6 linked regions of the Macaca fascicularis genome follow. The protein of the gene in region 1 binds, or shares a complex with, the protein of each later gene. Links are inferred from orthologs where the notes say so. Each region holds a gene or a part of one and is shown on either strand. Other genes may lie near its edges. The genes, in order: CNOT1, CNOT2, DDX6, NANOS1, CNOT9 and ZFP36.

Region 1 (4,791 bases):
CTTTATTGCTTATCAGGGACAGTTGTTTCAGAAATTTCAAGGTAACCTTGAAGTTTTTTTTTCTGAACTTGGTTTCTCTGTTTAGTAAGTACTGACCTGTTCTTCCTCTGTAGCCTTAATGCATATTTCACTGTTGTCTTTTTTGTTTGTTTGTTTTAAAGGAGTGAGGGGAACTAGCCAAATAACATTCCCGCTGTGCTTCACTTCTAGTTCATATGTCATATAGTTTCTAATTTTTCCTTTCTTTTAAATAAACTTGTGTTTCCCACATTATTTTAACTTAGTATAACATTTTATTACATTAAAATACCTAGATCAGATTTGTGTGTATTTCCATTTGGTACTTACCTATTGTACAAATTATTGATTTTTCTGGGGGTAGCTTGTTGGAGTTTTAAAAGCTTTGTTATTAAGTCAGTTTGAGGAAATTATCTTCAAATCCTTGAGAAGTAAATTACCTTAAATTCTGTGAGAAAGTAAAATACATGCAATTTAGTCTCCTCTTTGGAGTCCACAATGTCTTAATGTGACTTAAAGTTACGAACAGTTGGTTTTATTTGCATGGTTAATTTTCCACATTATTTGGTGGGGACATACTGTTCAAAATTGCCATGATAATCTGTCAGTTTCCATCTTCCCTGTTCTACATTAAACTTAAAACTGGAGGAATTGTGTCATGGCACCTTAATGGGAAAATAATTCTGATAATACATTTATTACAATGTAAGAATTAGAAATATGACAGTAGGAACAAATGAGAATATCTCTTAAGCATGAAAATTAAAGGTATATCAAGTTTATTTGTGTGTGTTATCTCATTGTGTCTTTATTTTTTGTTCCTGTGGTAGATGCACCAGCAAGGAATACTGAAGACTGATGATCTCATAACAAGGTTCTTTCGTCTGTGTACTGAAATGTGTGTTGAAATCAGTTACCGTGCTCAGGCTGAGCAGCAGCACAATCCTGCTGCTAATCCCACCATGATCCGAGCCAAGTGCTATCACAACCTGGATGCCTTTGTTCGACTCATTGCACTGCTCGTGAAACACTCAGGGGAGGCCACCAACACTGTCACAAAGATTAATCTGCTGAACAAGGTCTGAAACCCTTTCTTGCCTTAGTCTTGGTCTACATCAGTGGGATTTTTTTTTTTTTTTTTTTTTTAAAAAGAGTCTCACTCTGTCACCCAGGCTGGAGTGCCTCCCAAGTAGCTGGGAATACAGGCATGAGCCACGATGCCTGGAGCTTTTCTATTTTTAGTAGAGACAGGGTCTCACCATGTTGCCCAAGCGGGTCTCAAACTCTTGGCCTCGAGTGATCCACCTGCCTTGGCTTCCCAGAGTGCTAGGATTATGGGGATGAACCACCATGCCCGGCCACATCAGTGGTTTCTTTTTTTCTTTTTTTTTGAGACGGAGTCTCACTCTGTCGCCCAGGCTGGAGTGCAGTGGTGCGATCTTGGCTCACTGCAAACTCTGCCTCCTAGATTTGTATCTACCTCCTCTCTACACCATTCTCCTGCCTCAGCCTCGTGAGTAGCTGAGACTACAGGCACTCACTACCATGCCCGGCTAATTTTTTTGTATTTTTTGTTTTGTTTGTTTTATGTTTTTTGAGACGGAGTCTCATTCTGTCACCCAGGTTGCAGTGCAGTGGCGCAATCTCGGCTCACTGCAAACTCTGCCTCCCAGGTTCACACCATTCTCCTGCCTCAGCCTCCCGTGCAGCTGGGATTACAGGCGTCCACCACTGCGCCCTGCTAATTTTCTGTATTTTTAGTAGAGACAGGGTTTCACCGTGTTAGCCAGGATGATCTTGATCTCCCGACCTCGTGATCTGCCAGCCTCGGCCTCCCAAAGTGCTGGGATTACAGGTGTGAACCACCGAGCCGGGTCACATCAGTGGTTCTTAACCCTATTTGAGTCCCTCAAGTGATCTGCCTGCCTCAGCTTCCCAAAGTGCTGGGATTACAGGCATGAGCCACCATGCCTGGCCACATCAGTGGTTCTTAACCCTATTGAGGCCAACCCTTCCCCAAAACATTTTGTTAACTCCTCTTTTCTGTCCTGAAATTAAATTTGTAGATAATATGTAAACATATCCGCTCTGTCTTAGAAACAGAATATAGTGCCTTAATAGAAACACAAAAAGAGATCATAATGTATTTCAGTATGTTAATGCTTGGTAGTGACTACAGTATGAATTTGCCCCATACACAGAATCACTGTGAGTGGGTGGCTAGAAGTTTCCCCTGCTGATAGATTGGCAACTCAAGTACGTGAGTGACATTAGCCATTGGCTTATTTACACAGTGGAGTTCTTGGAAATCTGAATATTAAAGCAGTGCAAAAATACGTGTAAAAATGGATTTTGATTTTGGATTTGGGAAATTAGAGATGTGTTCTTCAAGCCCCTCACTGTTCAGTGGGCAAGTCAAGTGGAATGAGATCTCTGCAGCCTAACAGCTTTCCTGGCCCCTGCCTACTAAATGCCAAGATAAGTGTAAATCATTGCCACATGTCAACTTCATGTCAGACCAGACAAATTAGATTGTTATATTGTGTTTAACATGGTGAAATGTAAGGGGGCCTTGCTGATTTCTAGAGCTGAAGAAAAACCATTGGGCGTTTGTAGAGAATATTCAGGTGTGGTCCAAGGATGTTGAAATTCAAAGAAACACACAAAACACTGAAGGTGGAGTCAGACCAATTTATGGCCCCATCGGTTGCCAGCATGTAATTTTGTATTCAAATTGTATATATGCTTTCTTTTAATGTTGGGTTTAAGAATGCAGAGTTTAAAAAGCATGACATCAAAGTGGTAAGTGAATTATCCGAATGATTTACAAGCTCTAATTTGTGTTTTATATAGGTCCTTGGTATAGTAGTGGGAGTTCTCCTTCAGGATCATGATGTTCGTCAGAGTGAATTTCAGCAGCTTCCCTACCATCGAATTTTTATCATGCTTCTCTTGGAACTCAATGCACCTGAGCATGTGTTGGAAACCATTAATTTCCAGACACTTACAGCTTTCTGGTGAGAATTGCGTTTGAAATTTTGTGTTAAGGTTTGCTGGATTAATGTAGTAAAATTTGGGGAGTAGAACCCTTGAGCATTTTGAGCCTACATTCATGTGCTGTTCACTGTATTTAAGTTGGACTGCGCTTCTGACTAAGGTTTTTCTTCTTTCAGCAATACATTCCACATCTTGAGGCCTACCAAAGCTCCTGGCTTTGTATATGCCTGGCTTGAACTGATTTCTCATCGGATATTTATTGCAAGAATGCTGGCACATACGCCACAGCAGAAGGTGTGGCTGCAGTTTATCTCCTGTACATGAAGACTATGACTACCTGGGCTTATTTATTAGCATTGCCTATAGATTTCTGTTAGTCATTTAGTAGTAATTGTACTTCTTCCAAACTTAGTTGGGAATTCTATTAAGTGTTCACTCAAGTCAAGTACTTGACTGTCTCTGCCTGAAAGCCATTCTTCAGTGATTAGGTGTTGCTGCTTCAAGGTTGTGGGCCCCCTGTGTCAGTCTCTCAAGTTTTTTAAAATTGTTTTTTCCTTTCTTTTAAAATGTTTTGCTTCTTTATACACAGGAATGATTTATTTTACATATTTGTCAGTTAAGGGGTTTTTTGGGGTGGTAGGGGTGTTGTTTTTAAAGTTGAAATCCATGTGTGCCCTCATAAATATCTGAATAAATCTCTGGGTAATAGGGCTCTGGAGCTTGTTGATTTTAGACTCTCACTTTAAATGTGGAAGGCTCTCAAACTAAGGTTGAGGACTACTGGGCTATGTTATTTTGAAGGATTATGATCCAGTTCTATTTAAAAGTTCTTTATCTAATTGGTAATACAACACAGTTAACATGAGAAGTTCTTTTCCTCCCATCTTGGAATTAAATTGGCAAATGAGTACTGCAGAAAGTACCATTTTTTGGCCCCTCAGATCAGAAGAAATGTGACTGCTATGTAATGGAGTGAACTTGACAAAGAAGGTGAAATAGCTCTTAAATGAAGTTGGTTTTGTTTGGTGGAGAAGGGTATTCTAGGAGACAGAAACACAACATATTAAATACAATTATCCAGGAATTAATTGAACATAATTGGTATAGTTGGGGGAGGGTGAGCAGGCCGACTTTGGCTGAAAATAGAGAATTCATGTTGTGGACTCAACAAGGTTATTTGCAAAGAGTTGAGGAGTTGAAAGAGGGAAAAGAAATGGCCGAGACTTAATAAGGAATTAAGAAAACACATTTCTAGTTGTCAGTTTCTGCAGTTGACTGTTTTGTGTTCTATCAGAAGTTTCCTCTTTAAATTTTTAAATTTTGCTGCAGGTACACAGGGACCATTATGTCTTGAAATCTCTGGAGCCAGTTTGTTTCAAATATTATTTCCCACTATCTCTGTAATAACTTGGTCCTTTTTAATCTTTTTAATGCCAGTCTTTTTTCTTTTCTTTTTTTTTGAGACGGAGTTTTGCTCTTGTTGTCCAGGCTGGAGTGCAGTGCCGCGACCTCGGCTCACTGCAACCTCTGCCTCCCAGGTTGAAGTAATTCTCATGCCTTAGCCTCTGGAGTAGCTGGGATTACAGGTGACCAGCACCACGCCTGGCTAATTTTTTGTATTTTTAGTAGAGACAGGGTTTCAACATGTTGGCCAGGCTGGTCGCGAACTCCTGACTTCAGGTGATCCAGCGGCACTCAGCCTCCCAGAATGCTGGGATTACAGGCGTGAGCCATTGTGCCTGGCCTTTAATGCTGATCTTTAGTAGAGATACTTCC
Region 2 (4,791 bases), on another chromosome or scaffold:
TCAATAAAAACTTCCAAGCAAGATCCACTACAAGGATTTAATACCCAATGGGGAAATGATGCTAACAATAGCATTGTGCTCAGAGATCTAGGACTTGTATTCAAGTCCTGGTTTTATTATTCATTAATATGACGGTGTCCTAGTTATTTAACATCTCTTAGCTTTACTTGTCAAATGTGGACAATGACACCTATGAGGGTTACTAAGAAAGTAAATAAAATGAGTGAAGGTGTATGAAAGCACCTTGTAGAGTACCAAATATATAGAAGGCTTATAAAAAATGTTAACTGAATCTATATCTGACAGTGATTCACAAGTCAGTTGTATGCTTCCAGCAAATCACAGATGATGAATACAAAACCCAGAAAGAAATGACTTTTTAGTTTGTTTAAATAGATGCCTGAAAGATAACTGCTTTACATTTCTCTCCACAAGGTAGAAACATAACCGCCTACCAAGAAATGTTCACATTTAAATAAACCTTAAAAGTGTACCAAAACAACATTTTTACCTTGTTATTTGATCCTGTATCTAAATACTTATTTGGCTATTACAGATTATCTGAATGTAATTTTTCTCTCCATTCATGCTATCCCTATTCAGGCAGCAGCCCCCACGTGACAAATTCTCCTAAATTAGTATTTCTCGAATTGGCAATAAGAAAAGGTTCTGGAACGCTTAGGTAACTGGAGCAAAAGAGCTCTATAGTGGGGGTGAGAGCAAATCACACAATCCACAAATAGAAAATAGGAGACCTCTCCATCTCATACTTCTTGCCTTCCATCTACTGAAGTATTAAAAGACATTGAGAAAGGTATCCCTTTTACTTGCCTGGTCACAACATCAACATCCACTTGACCACAGAACTGTAAGGCACCCTCATAATGCTGTCATATATATATATACATACACATACATATTTATACACAAATATATAACAAAAATGTATTATTTTTTCACTAAATTGTTGTTTCCCAAGGCTAAAATGTAGATATCATTGTGAATTTTTTTGGTAATAGAAACACTCAGTTCTAAAGCAAAAAGTGCCACCATTTTCTTAGATTGAAAAAAGAGAGATTAAGCTGTAATTTGTTGTTAATAATTACTTTAGAATTAGAATTTTAGGTGATTTAAAAAAATGGAAATGAAAAAATACAGAGAAAAGTCAAGGTCATAAATAGTTTTTAAAGATACAGATCATCTCATTAAAAACACTGTATCTGTAATACTTGTAAAGAAAATCTTTTTACTGCTAAGATCATAAAATAAGATTATCAGAAGGAAATTTATCAAATGTTCCAATCTAGTTTATTCCCACCAACTGTGGTTATGGTTGTAACCTGTTGTTAAATATAAGAATTTTTATTTTTTACCAGTCCTAACATTTACCATTTAACAAGTTAACATGGACATATGAAAGCATATCCCTGAGACCATTACTAATTATTTCAAAAATAGTATGCTGCCTGAACTGAAAAACACGTGAAAAATAGATAAATTCGTGCTGACTGAGTAGAATAATAAACTACACTCACCTTATCCCTAATGTGAATGTTCGTTAAGTACTCAGATGGAACATGGAAGTCTGGATAATAAAATGAAAAAAGCCTTATTAACTGATTCTCAGTTGTAAATTTCTTTTTAAAAGGCCTAAACACAAATAGATTCTCCTACCTATGTCTTGAGGTCGACAAGGTGAAGATGCCCAGGGTGATGCAAATTTGGGGTAGAGATTTCTGAATAAGGAGGAAAAGAAAACATTTTGAAATCCAAAGCAGAAAAACAGATTTCTAATTTTATTTCAGGAAAAACAAAGACTCCAAATGTAAAATGACCATCTTTACTTCTAATTCCCTTACTTGGGTTTACCGACTTATACAGAAGCAGACGAAGAATGCGTGTGTGTGTGTGTGGGGGGGAGGTGTGTGTGTGTGTGTAAAATATGATAAGACTCCTTCCCTCAGTATTCTTGCAACACAGTATAAATAACACAACATATCACAATATACAAAACATATGATTAAAAATTTTCTACTTTTACTTGACTTCAACTCAAGATGCTTTAAATTCTTTGATACCATGCTCCCAATTTAAATTACTTTCCCACTTATTTATGTGGCAAGAAGAAAAATGAGTAACTATTTGTAAAAGTTTAAATTCATCAAATATTTACTGAGTGCCTATTATATGCCTGGCACTGTTCCAGGAGCTTATGACACGTCAGTGAACAAAACAAGATCACTGACAACATGAAACTTACTTTCTGGTTGAGGAATGGTGGATTGGAGGGAGGCAAACAAAAATCAATTAACATAATAAATAAACAACGGCCCATGTTAGAGGGAACTGGGAGGGGAGACTGGACAGATAATTATTAAATAGGGTGGTCAATTAGGTTTCATTAAGGTGGTCAGATCTGAAGATTTGAAGGCTATGAGGGAGATAATCATATTAATTATCTGGCAGAAGACTCTTCTAGTCTGAGGGAACTGCTAAAGCAACTAAGGCAGGGACATGACTGACATGTCTGAGATACAAGGTGGCCAGCGAAGCTGGAATACAGTGAACAAAGGGAAAAGCTGTTGAGGTGGGGTTAGGGGACAAACAACAATCATGTAAGACCTTGTAGGCCTGTAAAGATTTGGGGTTTCTGGTCAGGTGCAGTGGCTCACACCTTAATTCCAACACTTTGGAAGGCCAAGATGGGCAGATCACTTGAAGTGAGGAATTTGAGACCAGCCTAGCCAACATGGTGAAACCCTGTCTCTACTAAAAATACAGAAATTAACTGGGCATGGTGGCACATGCCTGTAATCCCAGCTACTCAGGAGGCTGAGGCAGGAGAATCGCTTGGACCTGGGAGGCAGAGGTTGTAGTAAGCCAAGATAGAATCACTGCACTCCAGCCTGGGCAACAAGAGCAAGACCCTGTCTCAAAAAAAAAAAAAAAAAGATTTGGGGTTTTTAATCATAATGAAACCACAAACTCTTTCTGGGTGTTGAGCAGAGGAGTAATTTATTTAAAAAGGACTCTCTTGGCTGTTATATGAAGAGATTGTATGAGAAGGGGGATAAGGACAATCAGGGACCCCCAGGGACTGGCTAATGGAGTATTCAGGCAAGAGAGAATGATTCAAACAAGGGTGGTAGCAGTTAAAAAGTAGTGAACTTTGGTCAGATTCTGTATATATTTTGGCAAAAGCCTGATTATGGGGTATAAAAGAAAGAGGAGTTAAGAATAATGTCAAGCTTCTGGAAGTACAGAGTTACCACTGACTGAGATTGGAAAGGCTGTAGACAGAGTAAGTTGGGGGGTGATAATTCAAGAAATATTTAATTAGCAATTGAATGTAGAAATCTCACACTCAGAAGTATGGAATGGAAACATATGTTTGGGATTCCTTAATATATATGGTATTTAAAACAATAAGACTAGAAAAGACCATCAAGGATCTAAATGCAGAGAAGAGGAATGACACAAAGAGGTCAAGAAGAAAAGGAGGAGGTACCAGCAAAGGAAATTGAAAAAGACCAACCAGTGAGGATGATGTAAAAAATGGTGCTCTCAAATTCAAGGATGAGAATGTGTATTAAGGAGCAAGAGTTCCTCCAAGTGATCACTGAATTTAATAACATAGAGGTCATTTGGTGACCTGAATAAAAGCAGCTTTAGTGAAGTGGCAGGGACAAAATCCTGACTGAAATGGGCTTACCAGAGAATGGAGAAGACCAAGTTGGAGGAATTGAGATGATTCTTTGAAAAGTTTTGCTTCAAAGGGAAACAAAGAAATGGGAAAGTAACTTACAGAGGAGATTGGATCAAAGGAAGATTTTAAGATGAGAGAAGTAACAATGTATTTCTATGTTGATGAAAATGACCCAACAAAGTGTGAAAATCTGTTGTTAAGTAGAACGCATGGGTCAATTGCAGTAATAGGGTGGAAGACAAGAATAACGTAGATGTAGATGGCTGTAGGTAGTCAGATTTGGTGGCTAGATTGTGCTAAATGTGCTCTTCTAATTGCTTCCAACTTTCTTAGGACAGTAAAAGTAAAAAGCAAGGTCATCATTTGATAGTAAGAACAAGGAGAAAAGGTATTAGGGGTGTGCAGAAGTGTATGTAATTGCGTAAGAGAGAAAAGAGTAAATGGACTAAGCATGCAAGGTATAATTATCCCTGGTAGAATTAAGAGCCTACTTTTGAGGTTCCTGGGTACGAAAATAAAGGAAGCCCAGGCAGTGATACCATGTGTTTTTCTCTAGCAGGGCTCAGTAGCACAGGTCAGGAATGAAATAGGCAGAAACAACCAGTACTGTAGCTTTGGCCATGCAAGTATAACAACATGAGAAAACGGCAAAGTAGTCACGGGATATGTAAATGAACAATTACGACTGACCACAGAATTTCATGGGTAAGAAGGGAGTTGATTACAGAGGAAGAGAGACAGGGATATGGAAGAACAGTTAAAACACAGAAGAATCAATAGATTGAAGGCCCCGGTGGAGTGAAATGATTACAGGAATTACAGTACCAGAAGAAGATAACTAGAAAATAGAAAGTGGAAATCGGAAAGCATGTGAGCACAGATTTTAAAATTGAGAGACTGCAGTTACTAACAATGACTAGGTCAAAGGGATAACTAAAGGAGTGGCTGAAGTATACTACAGGACAAAAATTCCTGGAGGAAAGAAATTCAAGGAGCTGAGATTTCAGGATTGTGGAAGGTGTGTGTATATATATACACATACATACACACACACATATACATACTTGCACATGCACACACATGCA
Region 3 (4,791 bases), on another chromosome or scaffold:
AGCAGCAGCAGCAGAAGGCCGGGTGCAGTGACTCACACCTGTAATCCCAGCACTTGGGGAGGCCGAGGCAGGAGAATCGCTTGAGGTGAGGAGTTTGAGACCAGCAGGGCCAACATGGTAAAACCCTGTCTCCACTAAAAATACAAAAAATTAGCTGGGTGTGGTGGCGGACGCCTGTAATCAATCCCAGTTACTCAGGAGGCTTAGGCAGGAGAATCGCTTGAACCTGGGAGGCGGAGGTTGCAGTGAGCTGAGATGGCGCCACTGCACTCCAGCCTGGACAATAGAACAAGACTCCATCTCAAAAGAAAAAGAAGAGTGTAATATTTATGTGATAGTATTGCTGAGGGAAAGTCTAAATCTGGGACACTATAATAAGTTCTCTTTTTGTAAAGAGATTTGTCCATTTGAGTTTTCATAATGTCCTGTGAGTCTTGTGATGATTCAACTTTTAGTTTTTTTGATTTTTTTAGTAGAGATGGGGTCTTGTTACGTTGCCCAGGCTGGTCTCAAACTCCTGAGCTCAAATGATCCTCCCGTCTCAGCCTCCAAAACTGCTGGGATTCCAGGTGTGAGTTACTCACTGTGCTACCCAGCCCAATTTTTTAATACATCTCGGTGTCTAGATTATAAGGGCAGTGTTTCCTTTTCTTTTCTTTTCTTTTTTTTCTTTTTTTTTTTTTTTTTTTTTTTTGAGTTTTGCTCTTGTTGCCCAGACTGGAGTGCAATGGTGCGATCTCGGCTCACTGCAACCTCTGCCTCCTGGGTTCACGATTCTCCTGCCTCACCTCCCTAGTAGCTGGGATTACAGGCATGTACCATCACGCCTGGCTGATTTTGTAGTTTTAGTGGAGATAGGGTCAGGCTGTTCTCAAACTCCAGACCTCAGGTGATCCACCCACCTTGGGTGGATCCCAGCACTCCCAAAGTGCTGGCATTATAGGTGTGAGCCACCGCATCTGGCCGCCTTTTTTTTTTTTTGAAGCTGAGTCTCATTCTGTCGCCCAGGCTGGAGTGCAGTGGCGTGATCTTTGCTCACTGCAACCTCCGCCTCCAGGGTTCAAGTGATTCTCCTGCTTCAGCCTCCTGAGTAGGTGGTATTACAGCTGCGTGCCACCAAGCCTGGATAATTTTTGTATTTTTAGTAGAGGTGGGGTTTCACCGTGTTGGTCAGGCTGCTCTCAAACTCCTCGTGATCTGTCCACCTTGGCCTCCCAGAGTGCTGGGATTACAGGCTTGAGCCACTGCATCATAAGGGGCAGTATTTCTGTAGCTTCTTGAATTTTGTAAATATAATGTATAGTATGTTCTCCCACCTCACCCCATATTTTCTCATATGTTCCTTGATGTTGTTTCAGCAATGGTGATTGTTCCCACTAGAGAACTTGCTCTACAGGTCAGTCAAATTTGCATCCAGGTCAGCAAACACATGGGAGGGGCCAAAGTGATGGCAACCACAGGAGGAACCAATTTACGAGATGACATAATGAGGCTTGATGATACAGGTAAGAAATGATTACTAAAAGGTAGTGTAGCTCTCTGTAATTTTAGTCTCAAGTGTTTCAGTAAATTATTAAAAATTATTTTTAAGAATTAAGGAACAGAAATCCTGCAGTAAAAAAAGGAAATGACCATTGCATTCAAGAGAAAAAAACAGATTGACGGTAATTGAAAGCAATATTTGACTTTATTACTAATTCTAAAACAGCAAGTTTATAGTAATTTTACCTGTTTAATTGGTAAAGCTAAAAGTAGTAGTAGACATTAATGTGAGTTTGTGGAGAAATAGGCTATGTTGTAAACGTGGGGGTGTCAACTTATCTCTATCATGAGCAATTTGGCAGTCTTATTTTAAAATTATAAATTATATTTTTAAGAATCTTTCCTGAAGAAAAAAGTTGGGTAAATGTAGGGCTGTATGTACAAAGTTGTTTACTATGGGGTGGTTTGTCGTGCCAAAAAATTGGACCAACTTAGAAGGAGATTGGCTAAATAAATACATTATAGTCTGAATAGTATTCTACATAGTCATTAAGGAGTGAAGTTGATCTGTATTCATTTTCATTAAGATTTTCATGATACATTGCTGAGTGGAAAAAGGTAACAAAACAGCAAGAATGAGATCACTCATAAAATTATATCTAAAATTTTAGTTAGAATACTATATATAATTATGTGATATATTCTTTGTATTGCATAGGTTTTTTAAAAATTGTTATCTTGTTTGATCCTTTTAACAATACTCGGTTCACTGTTCCAGATTAGAGGCATTGCTTTTATGTCAGAAGTCTGGTGTGCCTTCTGTTATTAATTGGGAATTACCCTAAGACAAGAAAGTATGCCTCCTGTTGGAAGCAGGTGATTTGGGAAGCTGTACCCCACCCAGTGTAGAGGTGAAAAGTATTTTTTAAGCATCCTGCGGTGAAATGGAAGACTTTATCCTAAAACACATCTTTGGACCTTTTTGTGTTATTCCCACCTCTATAACACAATGTGTTTCTTTTCTTTTTTTTTTTTTTTTTTTTTTTTTTTTTTTTTTTTTTTTTTTTTTTCTGAGACGGAGTCTCGCTCTGTCACCCAGGCTGGAGTGCAGTGGCCGGATCTCAGCTCACTGCAAGCTCCGCCTCCCGGGTTCACGCCATTCTCCTGCCTCAGCCTCCCGAGTAGCTGGGACTACAGGCGCCTGCCACCTCGCCCGGCTAAGTTTTTGTATTTTTAGTAGAGACGGGGTTTCACTGTGTTACCCAGGATGGTCTCGATCTCCTGACCTCGTGATCCGCCCGTCTCGGCCTCCCAAAGTGCTGGGATTACAGGCTTGAGCCACCGCGCCCGGCCGTGTTTCTTTTCTTTCTTTTTTTTTTTTTTAATTTGAGGCACAGTCTTACTCTGTTGCCCAGGCTGGAATGCAGTGGTGTGGTCTCGGCTCACTGCAACCTCTGCCTCCTGGGTTCAAGCGATTCTCCTACCTCAGCCTCCTGAGTAGCTGGGATTACAGGCTCCCACCACCACACCCAGCTAATTTTTGTACTTTTAGTAGAGACAGGGTTTCACCATGTTGACCAGGCTGGTCTCGAACTCCTGACCTCATGTGATCCACCCACCTGGGCCTCCCAAAGTGCTGGAATTACATGGATGAGCCACGGTGCCCGGCCTAGTGTTTCTGATAAAAGATAGTCATGTGCTGCATAACAATGTTTTGATCAGTGACAGACCGCATGTATGTCGGTGTTCCCATAAGATTATAATGGAGCTATACAGTGGAGTAGGCTGTACCATCGCATAGCAATGCATTTCTCAGAATTATCATTAAGCAACTGAGGACTGTAATATGATAAACCTTTACAATATCCTTTTTGCCCAAATTAAAATTAATGAGAATATATGTTTTCTAAATCTTGCATAGTGCACGTGGTGATTGCTACCCCTGGGAGAATCCTGGATCTTATTAAGAAGGGAGTAGCAAAGGTTGATCATGTCCAGATGATAGTGTTGGATGAGGTAATATCTCTTCATTTGGCATTATACTATTCTGTACTTTTCTGTGCTTTGCTTATAACTGCCAGTGAATGAAGCAAAAGCTGCTTGTGTTTATGATCTAGTAAACACATAAGCGATCAGTTTAAATTAATTTGCTTATAAAATGTGTTTTACCTGTCAGCGGGAGTAGATTATAGGCATTCATTGGAATTCTCCTTTTTGTCTTTTTCTTAGAGATAGCAGAGATTAGGTTTTATTTTCATTTTTTAGAAGAGGAGTGAATAACCGCAAAGCCAAATTTATTCTACATCTCTTTCTACTCGGCGATTAATTTTTTTTTTTTTTTTTTTTTTTTTTGAGACGGAGTCTCGCTCTGTTGCCCAGGCTGGAGTCCAGTGGCCGGATCTCAGCTCACTGCAAGCTCCGCCTCCCGGATTTATGCCCATTCTCCTGCCTCAGCCTCCCGAGTAGCTGGGACTACAGGCACCCGCCACCTCGCCCAGCTAGTTTTTTGTATTTTTTAGTAGAGACGGGGTTTCACCATATTAGCCAGAATGGTCTCCATCTCCTGACCTCGTGATCCGCCTGTCTCAGCCTCCCAAAGTGCTGGGATTACAGGCCTGAGCCACCGTGCCCAGCCTCGGCGATTAATTTTTAAAAGCATATAATATATATTGTCTCCTTTTGTGCATACTACTTTGTAGTGTTTGGTTATTAATCTCTGTTAGACATATTATCTCACCATGTTATAAATGCCTTTTAAAAACTTATTAAAATCTGTAGTCCTGGGATCTAGCCATGTTTTGTACATATATAGATGGTCCCTGACTTACGATGGTTCACTTTATGGTTTTTCAGTGGAAGTGATAAGCTTTTATTAGAAACCGTACTTTGAATTCTTAAGATTAATTTTTTTCCTGGTTAGTAATATGCTATATGATATTCCCATGATGCTGGGCATCAGCAGCAAACTGCAGCTCCCAGTCAGCCACATGATCATTGAGGGTAGACAGCTGATACTGTACAGTATACGGTGTTGTCAAGTGATTTTGCCCAACTATAAGCTAAGTGGAGCATGTTTCAAGGAGGCTAGGCTAAGTGATGATGTTCAGTAGGTTTGGGTAGTATTTTCAACTTAGGATGAATTTATCAGAACATAATCCCATTGTAAGTCAAGGAGGATCTGTAGTGTATCAGTGTTAATGTTTTGACATGAGGTTATTTTCACATTTGGTTTGTGTTTTATTATTATTACTATTTTTTTGAGACAGACTCACTCTGTTACCCAGACTGGAGTGCAGTGGCGTGATCTCG
Region 4 (4,947 bases), on another chromosome or scaffold:
CAGCTACTCAGGAGGCTGAGGCAGGAGAATAGCTTGAACCCAATCGTGCCATTGCACTCCAGTCTGAGTGACAGAGTGAGACTCTGTCTCAAAAAAAAAAAGAAATCCTACTCTTCTCTAGGTCTCATTTTCTTCATCTGTAAGGACTGGATAGAACTGGGTGTGGTGGCTCACATTTGTAATCCCAGCACTTTGTGAGGCCAAGACAGGAGGATCACTTGAGGCCAGGAGTTCAAGACCAGCCTGGGCAACATAGCGAGACCCCGTCTATTAAAAAAGAAAAAAAAAAAAAAAAAAGCAAGAAAAGATCAAATAGAATGATCCCAAAGATCCCTCCCCATGCTGACATTCTGATTCCCTCACTCATTCATTCTAATATTAACCAATGCCAGCACTAGGTTCTGGGCATCTCCTGCTGAGCCATTCTAAACCTGCTGGGCACAGCCAAGACCTGTGAGTGTGTCTTCAGGCCTAGTGAGGGCTCATTGTTTCCACAGCCACTGCATGGTCCAGAGTGGGGAAGGAAAGCCCCACCTGCCCCATGAAGCCCACGCTGCCAGGGCCCACCTGCCAGGGGAGGCATTTTCCTGATCCCAGTTCTAGGTTTCGTCCTAGAAGAGCCCTCAGTATCTAAAGCTTTTCCTACTTTCAATTTTTTAAAAAGTTGGAAAGGGTAAGACCACCTGCCATCTTCCTAATCAAAACTCATCTTCTGGCTCTTATTCTCCGTGGCTTTTCCACAACATGTTTTATTCATTTCAAAGTATTTAATTATAACGTCGAGGCAGGTGTGGTGGCTCATGTCTGTAACCCCAGCACTTTGGGAGGCCAAGGCAGGAAGATCGCTTGAGGCCAGGTGTTCAAGACCAGTCTAGGCAACATAGTGAGACCCTGTCTCAAGAAAATAAAAAATTAAAAGAAAAAAAAGCAAGAAGATAAAAGAGAGAGAAATAAAGAAAGAGGCCGGATGCGGTGGCTCACGCCTGTAATCCCAGCACTTTGGGAGGCCAAGGTGGGCGGATCACGAGGTCAGGAGTTCAAGACAAGCCTGGCCAACTAGTGAAACCCCGTCTCTACTAAAATAAAAAAATTAGCCGGGCGTGGTGGCGGGCATCTGTATTCCCAGCTACTCGGGAGGCTGAGGCAAAAGAATTGCTTGAACCCGGGATGAGGAAAGAAAAAAAAAAGAAAAGGAAGGAGGGAAAGAGGGAAGGAAGGAAGGAAAGAAGGAAGAAAGGGAGGGAGGGAGGGAGGAAGGGAGGAAGGAAGACAAAATATAACATTGAACACACGTTGTTTTTCAAACTGCACATATAACCCACATTTTGACTCAGGCCTCTGGGTCGAGGAGGTACACACACACACACATCCCAGTCACTGTCCTAGGCTCTCCAGCCATGAGGTTTTCCGGCCCAGTCCCAACCCCGACCTAAGTCACCGGGTATCGGCCACCCATCGGCTGAGGTCCCTGAGCACCTGTTGGGAGGAAGGCTGCTGCGAGGAGCGGGAAAGTCCTGCGTCCCTCCGCTCTTACCGCGGCAGGAACCACAGCCTCCCCGAACCTCACGGTGTGTGCGGATTTCGCTCAAGGGAAAGCGCTCCAACGCGCGGTGCAAACGGAAGCCACTGGCTGGTTGGGCGGCTGTGATGGGAGAGCTGCATCCTCCCATCGCGTCCAGCTTTTCATGCTGATGTTGGTGAGAAGAGGGTGGATAGCGGGGATTCTCAGGATGCGGACCTGGGGCCATTAAAGGCCGGGAGGTGGAGGCGTAAACCTGTGGCCACCCTGACCCCTGTCCTCGGTGGGCCTCACCACCAGGCCGAGGAGACCCAGGCCTGGTCACCTGCTCCAAGGCCAGGCCCGGCGCGCGAACGAAAGAGGACCTCAGCAGCAGTCCCTCCCCGGCCCTTCTCTCCCCTACTTTCTCCTCACCTACCAGCTGCGTGAAGAGCACGCCCCCTCCCCAGTCCCCACCAATCAGCGTCCGGAGCGGCGCCCGGGGCCCGGGGGGCTCTGGTCTGCAGCCAATGAGCGCCACGGCCCGAGGCGGCGCCTCGCCCGCCCCCTCCCGGAATGAAGGCCTCCCGACAGCTGGCGAAGCTGGCGCGGCGCGCGGGGCGCGGGACCCGCGCGGGCCGGAGTGGAGCGCGCGCACAGCCCGCCCGCCTCCGCTCCGCCTCCGTCCGGGGCGCGGGCGAGGTGGTCGGGGCGGGGGAGCGCAGGGGGCAGGGCCGCGGCGGCGAGGCCGGGGGGGCGGGGAGGAGCGGGCCCGATAAAAGGCGGCGCGGCGGCCCCACCCCGCGGCAGGCCGGCGGGCAGGCTCGGCGTGTCCCTTCCGTCCGGCCCGCGCCGGCGGCGGGGAGGCGGCGCGCGGCCCGCAGCCCGCCCATGGAGGCTTTCCCCTGGGCGCCCCGCTCGCCCCGCCGCGGCCGCGCCCCCCCGCCCATGGCGCTCGTGCCCAGCGCCCGCTACGTGAGCGCCCCGGGCCCGGCGCACCCGCAGCCCTTCAGCTCCTGGAACGACTACCTGGGGCTCGCCACGCTCATCACCAAAGCGGTGGACGGCGAGCCGCGCTTCGGTTGCGCCCGCGGTGGGAACGGCGGCAGCGGCTCCCCGCCCTCCTCCTCGTCCTGCTGCTCCCCCCACGCGGGGACTGGGCCTGGGGCGCTGGGGCCGGCGCTGGGGCCGCCCGACTACTACGAGGACGACGACGACGACGACAGCGACGAGCCGGGGTCCCGGGGCCGCTACCTGGGGGGCGCGCTGGAGCTGCGAGCGCTGGAGCTGTGCGCGGGCCCCGCCGAGGCCGGGCTGCTGGAGGAGCGCTTCGCCGAGCTGAGCCCGTTCGCAGGTCGTGCCGCCGCCGTGCTGCTGGGCTGCGCGCCTGCCGCGGCCGCCACTACTAGCGAGGCGACGCCGCGCGAGGAGCGGGCCCCGGCATGGGCGGCCGAGCCCCGGCTGCACGCGGCCTCCGGGGCGGCGGCCGCCCGGCTGCTGAAGCCGGAGCTGCAGGTGTGCGTATTCTGCCGCAACAACAAGGAGGCGATGGCGCTCTACACCACCCATATCCTCAAGGGCCCCGACGGGCGAGTGCTGTGCCCAGTGCTGCGCCGCTACACGTGTCCCTTGTGCGGCGCCAGCGGCGACAACGCGCACACCATCAAGTACTGCCCGCTCTCCAAAGTGCCGCCGCCGCCCGCCCGCCCGCCGCCCCGCAGCGCCAGGGACGGCCTGCCTGGCAAGAAGCTGCGCTGAGGGCCCGGGCTCCCGGCCACCCAGGGTCGCCGCCGCCGCCCCTCGCACCACTAGGTCTGCGCACCATCTTGCCCCCGCCGTGGGGAGGCGTGCGGCTCAGCGGTCGGCTCGACTTTGGGACGTCGTCCTGGTGGTTTTTCAAAAGCAGCCGACCGTGTGGAGTACTTCCGTGCCGAGCAATATGGGACTAGACGGTGAAATCACCATGTCTTCAGTTTCTAGTTTGCACATCCAGAACGGCGAAGGCTGGGTGTGTATTCCACTAACTGAAATACGGCAACTTAGAGGCGCTGTTTATTTACTGTATACGTGGACCTATTTTAGATGCGCATCAGTATGAAATTGTCTCAATCTAGGATGTTTCATTTTATGAATGGAGGCACTTTACTAGGTCTAGAATATTTTTTTAAAAGCCTCTGAACTGAGCTTAAAACTGGCGATTTTATGAAATGTCGGCAAAATGACTATTTTATTGTTTGAAGCAATATTCTTAGTTGTCCTTAAAAAATCAGTTACTCTAATTCCAGGTGAAGCAAGCCGCTGGTAGCATCACCCTTATGAGAAGTGAAGGTTTTGTAAACTTTCCAGTATTAATTTGGGCGGGTATTCCCTCCTTGTGGCTTGTTTCCGTCCTAGATGGAGGTGTAAAATGCACAATCTGTAGCAGGTAGAATACAGCTCCTTATCCTTTTATGTACCAGATATTTTATTACTGAACTAGCAACTAGCCTTTTCCACCTTTAAAAGTTGTGCTAAGTCATAATCATATTGTGTATAACTTGGAAATGGTGCTGTTTAAAAAAACTGTGTATTTATACAGTAACTATGAATTCATCAATCTCACCTGTAGCTTTTCTACTTGGCCTTTTCTCGACGCACTCACTTCCAGTTCTCTCAAAACGTTTGATATTAAGATCAAAGGGAAGAAGGGAAGACAGCAGTCTTCACCCTAGATTGCTCAATTTCAGGGTTCCTAGTGGAGGAAAGCCCATTCCAGCTGTTGCCTCTTAAATAGAAGATGGATCTCTAGCTCTGAGCTATTCGTGTATTAACTCGTATTCAAGAAGGTTCCACCGTGGGCTGCGTCTGACTTTAATATAGGCAGTGCTCAAACTAGAATAAGCACTAATTAAAGGAATTGTTGGGGGTCTTTCATGTTCCCACTCCTACTGGAAGACCCATGTCCATTTCCGGAACCCCACCAGTTCCCCATAAGCAAGACTAAACCTGATGGGCAAAAGTTCCTAACCCCTACTTTACCCTCCCACCCTCACTTTTAAATCCACCATACTGAATGCCACATTATGGAATGCAGCTACCTGCCAATCAAGACAATAGAAGGCAAAAAATAGAAGTGAATTAAGATGAACTCATCTGAAATACACAAATGCATCACTATCTGAAGATACCAGCAAGAGATTTAGTCTACGTGTATAGGGCTCCCAGTAGGATTTAGCTAGGCTACTATAAGTTAGACTGCTTTCATAATAACAGCTAACTTCCTCCACAGCAAATTGGCTCAATCAGGAACCTTCATTTGAAGGTGTGTTAGAGGGTGGAGTAAATACCCAATAGCTGTCTTTCTGGTCAAAGAAAAGGTGCAGCATATCAAGAACTTGGGGGCAGGGGAAAACACTTTCTTAGCCGGGAAAGAAAAATAATCCAACGCTGCTAGTCTTAACCCCAGACCA
Region 5 (4,791 bases), on another chromosome or scaffold:
CTACCACCGATAACATTTTACTTACTGTCTGAGATTTTTACGTATTAACTATATTGTCTAGGTCAAGTAATATAATTTATTAGAAAGTCATTTTTAGGCTGAGCACAGTGGCTTACACCTGTAATTCCAGCACTTTGGGAGGCCAAGGCAGGCAGATCACTTGAGGTCAGGAGTTTGAGATCAGCCTGGCCAACGTGGTGAGATCCCAACTCTACTAAACATACAAAAATTAGCCGGACATGGTGGCACATGCCTGTAGTCCCAGCTACTGGGGAGGCTGAGGCAGAAGAATCGCTTGAACCTGGGAGGCGGAAGTTGCAGTAAGCTGAGATCACACCACTGCACTCCAGCCTGGGAGAGAGAGCGAGGCTCCATCTCAGGGGGGGAAAAAAAAGTCATCTTTAGATCAGATTTCGTCTTTCAGGCAGATGAGAAGCTGTATTAGCAAAGCAGAAGTGTGGGCCCTGTTGCCACACTGGGTGGCACACACTGTGCCACACCCTGTGCCACCTGGGTACAAATCCTAGCTTGCCATTTAAATTTTAAATAACTTCTCTGTGCCTCAGATTTTCCTTATCTATAAAATGAGAGTGCTGATAAGTATTATAAGTATTTAGGACAGTGCCTGACAGAGTAAGCCCTGTATGTTTTAAGCTCTCATTTTTATTTTTAAAAAATTGTATTCGTCCCATGACAGGTGGGTATTCAGTTGGTGTAACTTACTACTGCTATTAAATTGGGGGTGAAATTCAGCAGGGATGATGAAAAGGAGGATCCCTACCCTAGATATTTCCTGGCACCAAACTGCCCTCCTTTTGGCTAGAATGACAGCAGAACCCATAACACCAAGCTAGTGCCCATGGGGGCCACATTACCACCCATCTGACATGGTTCTAGCTCTCTTAGAATCAAAAGCACATGGAGGCTGCAGCCCCCACAAATAATCTCACAAATTGGAATACTGCTAGCAGCAGGTGTCCATGGCTTTAGGAACCCATGTACGCACCAGGCATTGGCCTTTCAGAGTGCCCACACCACTGCCAGCAGTGCCATCTTCTCTGCGGGCATCAGGCCAGCTCCAGAAAGAGAATATGTGGGGATGGGGCCTGGTGTTCAGGAGTCATGGTATGCAAATCAGTGGTTACAAGGGCAAAGATGGGGTACAAGATGCCAACTGCAAGTCACAGACTGGCTCTAGTAGGGGTGATGGAGTTTACTGATGGTGGTATCAGTATGACAAGACTTTGGGGAAGATCGACTGGAATGGGTACTGATTAATCAGGATAGGTACTGTATTGCCAGACCAGTGTCTGTGAGGCCTCCTTTAGTTACTGGATTGTGGGGTCATCCAAGAGACTGGGCAGGAAACCTAATGCTAAAATTTTATCTTGTGTTCCTGCTGAGCGTCTAAGGTGATGTAATATTCTAAATAAACACATACCCTATCTTCAGGTAGGAATTACATTTCCAAAAATAGTTTTTAAGTTGAGGGCCTGTTTGTGGCTGCCTAGAAAGGGCAAGTGCCTGAACAACACTGCTTTTGCTGTGGGGAAAGGAGGAAAAAAGCTACCAGATTCCTTCTATCGTATTGTTGCTCTAAGAGCCTATGATTGATTCCTTGAGGGCCATCCCTGAAGGGAGTTACAAAACAGCTTTTAGCAGATTACTGTAAGGCACTCAAAGAAAGCTTAAGCTGCATTGTATTTCAGTCTATTTAGCAGAACACGTTGTGGTTCTTTCTGTCAGGCTAGTGAAATAATAAACATCAGGCTAAGAGCTTATAATCAAGCTTCCATTTTTAAAAGGCCATTATTCAGGTTGGATAGAGTAAATTTGAATCCACTCAAAGTCTATTTTATGCTTAATTCTGTTCTTCAACAAAGGCAGTTCTTTTTGTTCTTTGTCTTTACATCTGTACAATGTGTAGGTCATCATTCTGTCATGCTAAGGTCTATTGGGAACTTGTAAGTACTGTGAGAAACTGTATTATAGTTCAAAAAAGTACAGGAATATGCAACTTCATACCTGGTTAAATTGAGTGAGTTAATTCCTCTGAACATTAGTGATCTCATCTGCAAGTGTAGATAGCTTTTCCCCACCTCCTCTTTTATTTCTCATGGTTGGGGGCAATTACCTGAGAATTTTGGGCTTGGAGATAGAAATCACCAGGAATTTGTTAGCACTTTAAAGCTTAGGGGTAGCCATTATCATTTTTCTAGTCTCCCATCTTGTTTTCCAGATAAGAATAATTAAGGAACTTAACCAAGATCACAAAGATATTTGATGACTGTAGAGAATAATAAAATACTCAGATTTGGGGGGAATATTGTGATTCTTTAGCATAATGATGAAAGCATGCCCTATTAAGTCTGTATTTCCTACATGAGTAAGTAATGAATGGTTCTCAAAGGGATGTAGTTAGATAATATATTGCAGAATCATTAAGAGGGAGAGCTTTTCCAAATTACAGGTTTTCTGCTCAGTTGAGGGGGGATGTCAGAATCACTGGGGAGGGACCAGTAATGGGAAGGCATAATTTTTTTTCTCTCAAAAACTATTATGTGTATATGGTTTAAAAAAAAAAAAAAAAAAGTTTATGCAAAAGGTTTTAGTGTAAACAATGAAAAGTAAGTCTCCCTATAAATCCCCAACCTTAGAGGTAACTACAGTTAACAGTTTTTTATGTGTCCTTCTAGAAATGTTATATGTAAATGTGTAAGAATGTATTTTTTATTTTTATATATGTATGTATTAATGGAAACATTTTATATGCTCTTCTGTAACCCTTTTATTGTTTTTACTTAGTATCAATATTCAGTATATAGAGAGCTGCTGCTTTTTTTAAAGGACTACATAGTATCACATTATAAAGCTGCACCAATATTTAACCAGTCTCTTATTGAGAAGATACTTGTTAGTTTTCTGCTTTTTTTTTTTTTTTTTTGAGATGGAGTCTCGCACTGTCGCCCAGGCTGGAATGCAGTGGTGTGATCTCAGCTCACTGCAAGCTCCGCCTCCCGGGTTCACGCCATTCTCCTGCCTCAGCCTCCTAAGTAGCTGAGACTACAAGGGCACACCACCACGCTTGGCTAACTTTTTGTATTTTTAGTAGAGATGGGGTTTCATCGTGTTAGCCAGGATGGTCTCCATCTCCTGACCTCATGATCCACCCGTCTCGGCCTCCCAAAGTGCTGGGATTACAGGCGTGAGCCACCACGCCCAGCCCAGTTTTCTGCATTTATTTATGTATTTATTGAGACAGAGTCTCACTCTGTCGCCCAAGCTGGAGTGCAATGGTGCCATCTCAGCTCACTATAACTTCCACCTCCCATGCTCAAGCAACTCTAGTGCCTCAGCCTCCTGAGTAGCTAGGAGTACAGGCATGCACCACCACACCTAGCTTTTGTTTTTGCTTTTTTTTTTTTTTTTTTGGCGACACACTCTTGCTCTGTCATCCAGGTTGGAGTACAGTGGCCGTATCTTGGGTCACTACAACCTCCACCTCCCAAATTCAAGCAATTCTCCTGTCTCAGCCTCCTGAGTAGCTGGGATTACAGGCGCCCATCACCACACCAAGCTAATTTTTGTATTTTTAGTAGAGACGGGGTTTCGCCATGTTGGCCAGGCTGGTCTCGAACTCCTGACCTCAAGTGATCCACCCACCATGGCCTCCCAAAACGCTGGGATTACAGGCGTGTGCCACCACGCCTGGCCAGTTTTCTGCTTTTAAAACAGTGGAACAGTAAACATCCTGGTATATCTTTAGCACAGCCCAATTATACCTACAGGATAAATTCCTAAACATGGAATTATCAAAGGGTATGTGTGCATTTTAGATTTTCATCAGTAACTGCCAAAGAGATTGAATAGTTGACATCAAATGTATGTATTTAGAAAAGCTCCCCTGGTATTCATGGAAAATATATTTCCTCTAAAACTCTGTTGCAGGGTAAGACTTGGTTTGACTCTAATAAACTCATATTTACTTTCTTGTCTTCATCTGAAGCCTGTGCCTACTGCACTGGCACAAGTGGATAGAGAAAAGATCTATCAGTGGATCAATGAGCTGTCGAGTCCTGAGACAAGGGAAAATGCTTTGCTGGAGCTAAGTAAGAAGCGAGAGTCTGTTCCTGACCTTGCACCCATGCTGTGGCATTCATTTGGTACTATTGCAGCACTTTTACAGGTGGGTTTATATCCATGATTGGCAGTTCAGTTCTTTTCATTACCCTTGTATATTTCTTTACTTTTGCCCAAATGATTTGAAGACTTTAGGAGGATGATTCTTTAAAAATCTGCATTCGTAAGAACCTATTTTAGAAAGGTCTGAGGTATTCGTTAAAATGCAAATTCTTGGATCCTTACCCAAGAGATTCAATTTAGTCAGTCTGAGGTGGGCCCTCTACTCTATATTTTAATAAGCACTTTCACCACCCCCAGATGATTGTGATGCGGGTGATCTAAGAACTACACTTTGACAGACATAGCTTTAGGAGTACCGTAAGATAAATCTACATGACAGCGGGAGAAAGGTGGAAGGTAGAGTATAAGGACCACAAGGTATAATATATTCCATGGAAAAGAAATGTTTCTTGAGGGTTTTTGTTTGTTTGTTTGTTTTGTTTTGTTTTCTTGAGACGGAGTCTCGCTCTGTCTCCCAGACTGGAGTGCAATGGTGCAATCCTGGCTCACTGCAACCTCTGCCTGCTGGATTCAAGCGGTTCTCCTGCCTCAGCCTCCTGAGTGTCTGGGATTACAGGCATGCGTCACTATGCCTGGCTATTTTTTTTT
Region 6 (5,312 bases), on another chromosome or scaffold:
GGCTCCAGGGTCCCGGTGGCCAGAAATCTGCCACTCCGAGCCACCAGGGGTCTAGAGTCTAAAGCGCTAGGGGACACAATCTGAGACTCCCAAATGTTGAGACCCTAAACTCTTGAGACCCTAAAACCCGCTTCCCCAACATCCAGAAGGTGTCGAAGCCCCCCCGGAACCCCTAGTCCCGAAACGCGTTCCGCTACCCCAGGCTGCCCCGCCCCGCGCCCGCCCCCGCCCCCGCTCGCTCTGGGCCCGCGCCCCGGCACATTCCGTCCTCCCCACCCGGCCCCTCCCGCCTCCCGCCTCCCGCGGCCCCGTGGGGACGGAAACATTCAGTCCCCGCCCGCGCCCGCCCGAGAGCTAGGTCAAGGAGCCCGGCAGGACGGGAGCGCAGCGCCCCCGACGCCCGGGAACTGGCTCCCCCGGTTCCCATCTGGTGACCTCACCTGGTCCCACCCTTTCAGGTGAACTGCCAGGCCCGGTGACGTCACTTCCTGCCAGGTAAGCGCCGCGGGGCTCGGAGAAGCAGAGTTGACTGCACCCAGCTTCCAAAAAGTCACCCTCTACCTCCCCATTCCTGTCTCTAGACCGCGAAGAAGCCAGGATCCCAGCTTACACTCAGATTGTTTATTTAAAAATGCCCCAAAACACAAAAATAGACTTTTAAGGTAACAATATATATTACTAAATATATTATAGTCTACTTATAATTATACCGTCGTTTCCAATATTACAAAAAAAGAGAAAGAAAAATACAAGGGAAGCAGACGACCCAATATATATAAATACTATAAAATCATATTAGAATAAATAAAGTCGTCATAAATAAAGGGTCCATTGATTTATGGATGGGGTTTGGCAACGGCTTTGGCTACTTGCTTTTGGAGGGTAATTTGAGCACCAGGATTCCCCCTCAGGAGAGGTTCCAGTTACCAGGAGACACTGGAACCTCAGGTCTATAAACACTGGAGGGGCAGTGAAGGCCTATTATTCACAGCACGTAAGATTCTATGAGACAGATTTGGGCAGGGAAGAGGTGGGGAGAGGGCTCACTGCCTCCCTTAAATATGCTACATTTTTTTTTTTTTTTTTTTTGGTCAAAAACCTCAGAAGACACTCTATCCCCCACCACCATGAATACTGAGCTTGCACACTTGGGGACCTGCCCCAGTGTGAGGTCAGGGGAGTGGGTTAATGCATTCTGGAAAAGGGGGTTACTTGATTACTTGATTACTGTCCCTCAAGTCCCCATAGCCCTAGGGTCCATGCAGAGACCACAGTGCAACAGACGTGGCTCCCCGCTGAGATCCAGCTGATCTGACCGGGCAGTCACTTGTCACTCAGACACAGAGATGCGATTGAAGATGGGGAGTCGCCGGGGGGCTGCCGCGGGCTGGGGTGGTGCAAAAACCCCCGCCTCGAAGACAGGAGAGTCAGAGCCCCCCAGGCTGCTGCCGCTGCTGGCATATTCATCAGGGTCGGATCCCAGGGACTGTACAGAGGGGGTCCGAACCAGGCCACCCAAGGGCCCCCAGACGCTGACAGGAGTGGCCCTTCGGCAGGAGGGGCAACAGAGTGGGCTGGGGTCTCTTCGAGCTACGGGGGTACCAGGGGCAGCAGAGAAGGCAGAGGGTGACAGTGGAAGGTCCCCAGGTGGTGGCGGGGAGCTGGAGGGCGAGAAGGAGCTGGAGGACAGGGAAGGGCCGACCAGGCCTGGTGGTGGTGGTGAGGTCCGGCGGCCAGAGGGCAGGCCGGAGAAGCTGATGCTCTGGCGAAGCACAGGAGGGTGGCCCGGGGCCGCCAGGTCTTCGCTGGGGTTGTGGATGAAGTGGCAGCGAGAGCCATAGGGGCAGCGGCCCTGGAGGTAGAACTTGTGGCAGAGTTCTGTCTTGTACTTGGGGTGGCGATTGGCCTGGCGCAGCTCGCCCAGGCCATGGGCAAACTGGCACTTGGCCCCGTAGCGGCAGCGTCCACTCTCTGAGAAGGTCCGACATAGCTCAGTCTTGTAGCGCGAGGGGGTGGTGGAGGTCGCAGTGGGCGAAGTGGGTGAGGGTGACAGCTCGGGGCCCAGGCGGGGAGCCAGCGGTGCGAAGCCAGGGGGTGGGGGCACCCAGCCACAGCTGCGGCCTTCTACCAGGCTGGTGGAGCGGCCAGGCAGGCGGGAGGTGACCCCAGACGGGCTGGAGTCGGAGGGGCTCAGGCTCCAGAGTCCCGAGGAGCCCCAGCCTGGGCTGGACTCAGTCCCTCCATGGTCGGATGGCACCGGCACGTCAGGGCTCAGCGACAGGAGGCTCTGCGGAAATGGGTCGGTTAAGGTACCCGAAAATGCAGGGCGACGCCCCACCCCAGCTGCAGGGAACTAGAGCTTGCCAGGCCGGTTTGTGGGCTCCTGGCCTGAGCCCCACCCGCCTGCAAAAACCCCTGGGTTCCGGATGCCAGGAACCCAGATTTGGAGGTTCTGAGTTTACCCACGATCGAGGCCTTATCCCGAGGGACCCAGGAATCCCGGCTTTCCCGGCTGGACCAAGAGGGGGCCCCGAAGTCAGGGCACACCACTTTTTCCCAATTTTGGGTCTCTTGCCCTCCCCAGATATGACCCACGCGTCAGGATCTCCAGTTTCACAACTGGAGGAACCGGGCAAAGTTGACCCAGGAGTCCGGATGGCTTCGGTTTTAGGGTTCTCAGAGAACTACGGTCAGGGACTGGAGACACAGAAGTCGGATCCCCCCCACCCTGAGACTTCAGCCCCAGAGACGCCTCCGCGCAAAACCACGCCCTCAGCGACGACTAGGGGTGAGCCAGGTGTGGGGGCCACTTCCGCCTCCAGGCAGCCTAGGTCTGAGAAAAGTTCTCCGACTTTCCACTCGCACGGGCCGCCCCACCCATGTTTGGGCCAAGAGCCGGGAGTCGTGGGCTCCATTTTCACCTCCAAATCACCAAGCTGGTCTGAGCGGGAGGCAGGGGCCCCAGGCTGGAGGGCAGGGCGCTAGGAAGCCCCAGTTGGAGAAGAGAGGCAAGCGTCCCGGGATGGAGTTTGCGGCGCTAGAGAGCTGGGGAGTCAAGTGTGCAGGTACCGGGGGTGCCGTGCGGTGGGGACTCACCTCGTAGATGGCAGTGAGATCCATGGTGTAGCGGTTGGCCATTAGAGGGGAGTCGGCCGAGAGTCGGAGCGCTGAAGTCAGGCTGAGGCTGGCAGGGAGAGCCGGCTACTTAAACAGCAAGCACGGGGCGGGGCCTGGGCCAGGGGCGGGGCAGGAGGGGCGCTTCCCGGACGCGCGCCCCCGGCGCAGCCCGGCTGGCCCTGGACTGGTTCCCTTCCGCCCGGCCCTGGGCCAGGACGCGCCTGAGCTTGGCCGGTGGACAGCCGCGACCGGGCGGGGAGTGCGTGGGGAAAGGGTGGGGGTCGGGGTGGGGGTGCGGATCGGGGGGGCGCCTGCCCAGTTTTCAAAGCTGGAGACTGAGGCGTGTAGAAGGAAACTGGGGCGGAGGTGGGGGCAGGGCTTCAGGGGCAATTGACAAGGGCAGAGGCCCGATGGGGGTGCGCGTGCGACACAGACGGACGGGGGCGGGGAGAGACACGCAGAGGGGTACAGACAGGGAGAGAGGCAGAGAGAAAAACAGAGACACACACACACCGAGAGACACATACAGGGAGAGATAGGGTGAGCAGGGGAGGGACGGTGGGGAGACAGAGACAGTCCCAGAGACAGATTCAGAGGGAGAAGAGGGTTGGGAGGATCACAAAAAGAAACAGAAAGGGGCTGAGCGCAAGTGGTTTACGCCTGTGATCCCAGCACTTTTTGTGTTTTTCTTTCTTTCTTTCTTTTCTTCATTATTATTTTTTTGAGAGACGGGGTTTCCCTATGTTGCCCAGGGTGATCTTCGCCTCCGCCTCCGAGACTGAAGGGATCCTCCCACCTCGGCCTCCCAAAGAGCTGGAATTACAGGTGCGAACCAGCAAGCCCGGCCAATCCCAGTACTTTGAGAGGGTGAGGCAGGTGGAGTACCTGAGATCAGGAGTTCAAGATCAGCCTGGGCAACAGTGAGATCCCATCTCTACAAAAAATACTATTTAAAAAAATTAAAAAGAAAAACTGGACAAAAAGGAGAAAGACTGTGAGAAACAAGCACTTACAGAAAGAAATCTGCCAAGCAAAGTGCCAAGAAAGAGCCGGCAGGCCTTGGAGGGGAATTCTCTGAGAACTGCCTGCCTTGTGTTGTCTCACTCCTAAACAGCCCAGACAGATGAGACCAGAACTGCTCTCCCTCTCCCCACTTGCTGGGGTTGGGTGGGTGAGTGAGTGGGTTGGGGTCCAGGATGCCTAGCAAGGCTGAAAAGGGGCCTCCTTTCCCAAGTCACAGGGCGGCTCTAGCCCCTCATCCTCAGGCAGATGATCTCTTCTAGGCTGAGTTAAGGAGAACTCACCTAGGCTGAGTTCTAAATGCTTTACGCACATTCATCCTAATGCTAGGTGGTATGCCTATTTAAGGCAGGAGGAAACCAAAGTGAAGTTACTCTCCTGCCCGGCTCACACCTGTAGCCCTAGCACTTTGGGCACCCAAGGCGGGCGGATCACGAGAGCTCAGGAGTTGGAGACCAGTCTGGGCAACATGGTGAATCCCCGTTTCTACCAAAAATACAAAAATTAGCTGGGTGCGGTGTCACACGCCTGTGGTCCCGCTATTGGGGGGCGGGGAGGGAGCAGGCTGTGGTGGGAGAGTCGCTTGAACCCAGGAGGCGGAGGTTGCATGAGCTGAGATCCCGCCACTGCACTCCAGCCTGGGCCACAGAGTGAGACTCCCTCTCAAGGGGGTAATAAACGTTACTCTTCTAGTTCGAGCTAGCAAACGGCAGAGGCCTCCTACCAGGGCCTGAAATTATGTTGAGGTTTGCCCTCTAAGAAAACTCAAGATTGGCAAGGTGGAGGTCTTTCACTATAATGGATGGTTGCATTGATTGAAAGCTGTTTTAAGCTTTCAAAAAGAAAAAAAAAATGGGTCATCCTCAGTTGATGGCTGGATGGGCCTCTTATAGTGGGGTGTGCCTTCAGACTACATTTTCCTTTTTTTTTTTTTTTTTAATTTTGAGACGGAGTGTCGCTCGGTCACCCAGGCTGGAGTGCAGTGGGGAGATCTCGGCTCACTGCAAGCCCCGCCTCCCGGGTTCACGCCATTCTCCTGCCTCAGCCTCCCGAGTAGCTGGGACTACAGGCTCCCGCCACCATGCCTGGCTATTTTTTTGTATTTTTAGTAGAGACGGGATTTCACTGTGTTAGCCAAGATGGTCTCGATTTCCTGACCTCGTGATCCACCCGCC

What was found.
Region 2: the proteins of CNOT1 (region 1) and CNOT2 are in contact, whole or in part, in a crystal structure (PDB 5FU7), measured with the Homo sapiens proteins. The link is inferred for Macaca fascicularis from reciprocal best matches to the Homo sapiens genes CNOT1 and CNOT2. Residues at the interface, in NP_057368.3 of Homo sapiens: His1864, Ser1865, Ala1866, Ala1867, Arg1870, Asp1871, Gln1917, Pro1921, Ala1923, Pro1925, Ala2003, Tyr2036, Leu2039, Glu2040, Ser2043, Arg2045, Ile2048, Ala2049, Ala2053, His2054, Leu2079, Leu2084, Lys2086, Gln2089, Ile2090, Leu2091, Tyr2092, Lys2093, Gly2094, Leu2096; in NP_001186231.1 of Homo sapiens: Met350, Val351, Asp353, Gln354, Phe355, Gly356, Met357, Ile358, Gly359, Leu360, Leu361, Phe363, Ile364, Arg365, Gly372, Met373, Val374, Leu376, Ala377, Leu378, Gly379, Ser380, Asp381, Leu382, Leu385, Leu387, Asn388, Leu389, Ser391, Glu393.
Region 3: the proteins of CNOT1 (region 1) and DDX6 are in contact, whole or in part, in a crystal structure (PDB 4CRW), measured with the Homo sapiens proteins. The link is inferred for Macaca fascicularis from reciprocal best matches to the Homo sapiens genes CNOT1 and DDX6. Residues at the interface, in NP_057368.3 of Homo sapiens: Glu1097, Ala1100, Phe1101, Phe1103, Asn1104, Asn1105, Leu1106, Ser1107, Ser1109, Asn1110, Lys1114, Lys1137, Arg1138, Ile1141, Glu1142, Asn1144, Phe1145, Leu1148, Tyr1149; in NP_001244120.1 of Homo sapiens: Phe329, Ser330, Arg331, Leu332, Gln333, Ile334, Asn335, Gln336, Leu357, Gly358, Tyr359, Ser360, Leu384, Arg386, Asn387, Ala402.
Region 4: the proteins of CNOT1 (region 1) and NANOS1 are in contact, whole or in part, in a crystal structure (PDB 4CQO), measured with the Homo sapiens proteins. The link is inferred for Macaca fascicularis from reciprocal best matches to the Homo sapiens genes CNOT1 and NANOS1. Residues at the interface, in NP_057368.3 of Homo sapiens: Ile2327, Ile2330, Lys2331, Trp2338, Glu2350, Phe2353, Gln2354, Val2356, Ala2357, Met2361; in NP_955631.1 of Homo sapiens: Phe40, Ser41, Ser42, Trp43, Tyr46, Leu47, Leu49, Thr51.
Region 5: the proteins of CNOT1 (region 1) and CNOT9 are in contact, whole or in part, in a crystal structure (PDB 4CRU), measured with the Homo sapiens proteins. The link is inferred for Macaca fascicularis from reciprocal best matches to the Homo sapiens genes CNOT1 and CNOT9. Residues at the interface, in NP_057368.3 of Homo sapiens: Ile1415, Ala1416, Thr1418, Thr1419, Gln1422, Ile1423, Lys1426, Asp1427, Phe1428, Met1444, Asn1447, Leu1448, Gly1451, Met1452, Met1454, Ile1455, Arg1458, Glu1459, Tyr1548, Gln1549, Arg1552, Met1553, Pro1554, Gln1556, Ile1557, Leu1559, Val1564, Lys1567, Gln1568, Leu1569; in NP_005435.1 of Homo sapiens: Arg19, Glu20, Tyr23, Ile26, Asn27, Ser30, Ser31, Pro32, Arg35, Pro54, Met55, Trp57, His58, Ser59, Phe60, Gly61, Ile63, Ala64, Ala65, Leu67, Gln68, Val71, Asn72, Tyr74, Pro75, Ser76, Ile77, Asn78, Pro79, Thr81.
Region 6: the proteins of CNOT1 (region 1) and ZFP36 are in contact, whole or in part, in a crystal structure (PDB 4J8S), measured with the Homo sapiens proteins. The link is inferred for Macaca fascicularis from reciprocal best matches to the Homo sapiens genes CNOT1 and ZFP36. Residues at the interface, in NP_057368.3 of Homo sapiens: Gln821, Glu835, Asp845, Ala848, Asn849, Phe852, Gln853, Tyr856, Asn894, Glu897, Glu898, Phe901, Gln904, Tyr905, Pro906, Glu909; in NP_003398.3 of Homo sapiens: Arg314, Arg315, Leu316, Pro317, Ile318, Phe319, Arg321, Ile322, Ser323, Val324, Ser325.

Annotation. Positions count from the first base shown.
Region 1 is NC_088394.1:54,634,962-54,639,752, reverse strand, and holds part of CNOT1 (CCR4-NOT transcription complex subunit 1), read left to right. Parts: exon of another isoform or gene 1-797; intron 798-848; coding exon 849-1,097; intron 1,098-2,312; exon of another isoform or gene 2,313-2,871; coding exon 2,872-3,035; intron 3,036-3,191; coding exon 3,192-3,309; intron 3,310-4,791.
Region 2 is NC_088385.1:77,069,971-77,074,761, reverse strand, and holds part of CNOT2 (CCR4-NOT transcription complex subunit 2), read right to left. Parts: intron 1,737-4,791; coding exon 1,675-1,736; intron 1,586-1,674; coding exon 1,536-1,585; intron 1-1,535. UniProt on the Homo sapiens protein: Component of the CCR4-NOT complex which is one of the major cellular mRNA deadenylases and is linked to various cellular processes including bulk mRNA degradation, miRNA-mediated repression, translational repression during translational initiation and general transcription regulation.
Region 3 is NC_088388.1:117,626,004-117,630,794, reverse strand, and holds part of DDX6 (probable ATP-dependent RNA helicase DDX6), read left to right. Parts: intron 1-1,358; coding exon 1,359-1,505; intron 1,506-3,403; coding exon 3,404-3,498; intron 3,499-4,791.
Region 4 is NC_088383.1:128,033,757-128,038,703, forward strand, and holds NANOS1 (nanos homolog 1), read left to right. Parts: upstream 1-2,301; 5' UTR 2,302-2,389; coding exon 2,390-3,256; 3' UTR 3,257-4,103; downstream 4,104-4,947. UniProt on the Homo sapiens protein: May act as a translational repressor which regulates translation of specific mRNAs by forming a complex with PUM2 that associates with the 3'-UTR of mRNA targets. Capable of interfering with the proadhesive and anti-invasive functions of E-cadherin.
Region 5 is NC_088386.1:114,504,652-114,509,442, forward strand, and holds part of CNOT9 (CCR4-NOT transcription complex subunit 9), read left to right. Parts: intron 1-4,006; coding exon 4,007-4,186; intron 4,187-4,791. UniProt on the Homo sapiens protein: Component of the CCR4-NOT complex which is one of the major cellular mRNA deadenylases and is linked to various cellular processes including bulk mRNA degradation, miRNA-mediated repression, translational repression during translational initiation and general transcription regulation.
Region 6 is NC_088393.1:46,480,300-46,485,611, reverse strand, and holds ZFP36 (mRNA decay activator protein ZFP36), read right to left. Parts: upstream 3,181-5,312; 5' UTR 3,139-3,180; coding exon 3,097-3,138; intron 2,288-3,096; coding exon 1,331-2,287; 3' UTR 607-1,330; downstream 1-606. UniProt on the Homo sapiens protein: Zinc-finger RNA-binding protein that destabilizes several cytoplasmic AU-rich element (ARE)-containing mRNA transcripts by promoting their poly(A) tail removal or deadenylation, and hence provide a mechanism for attenuating protein synthesis.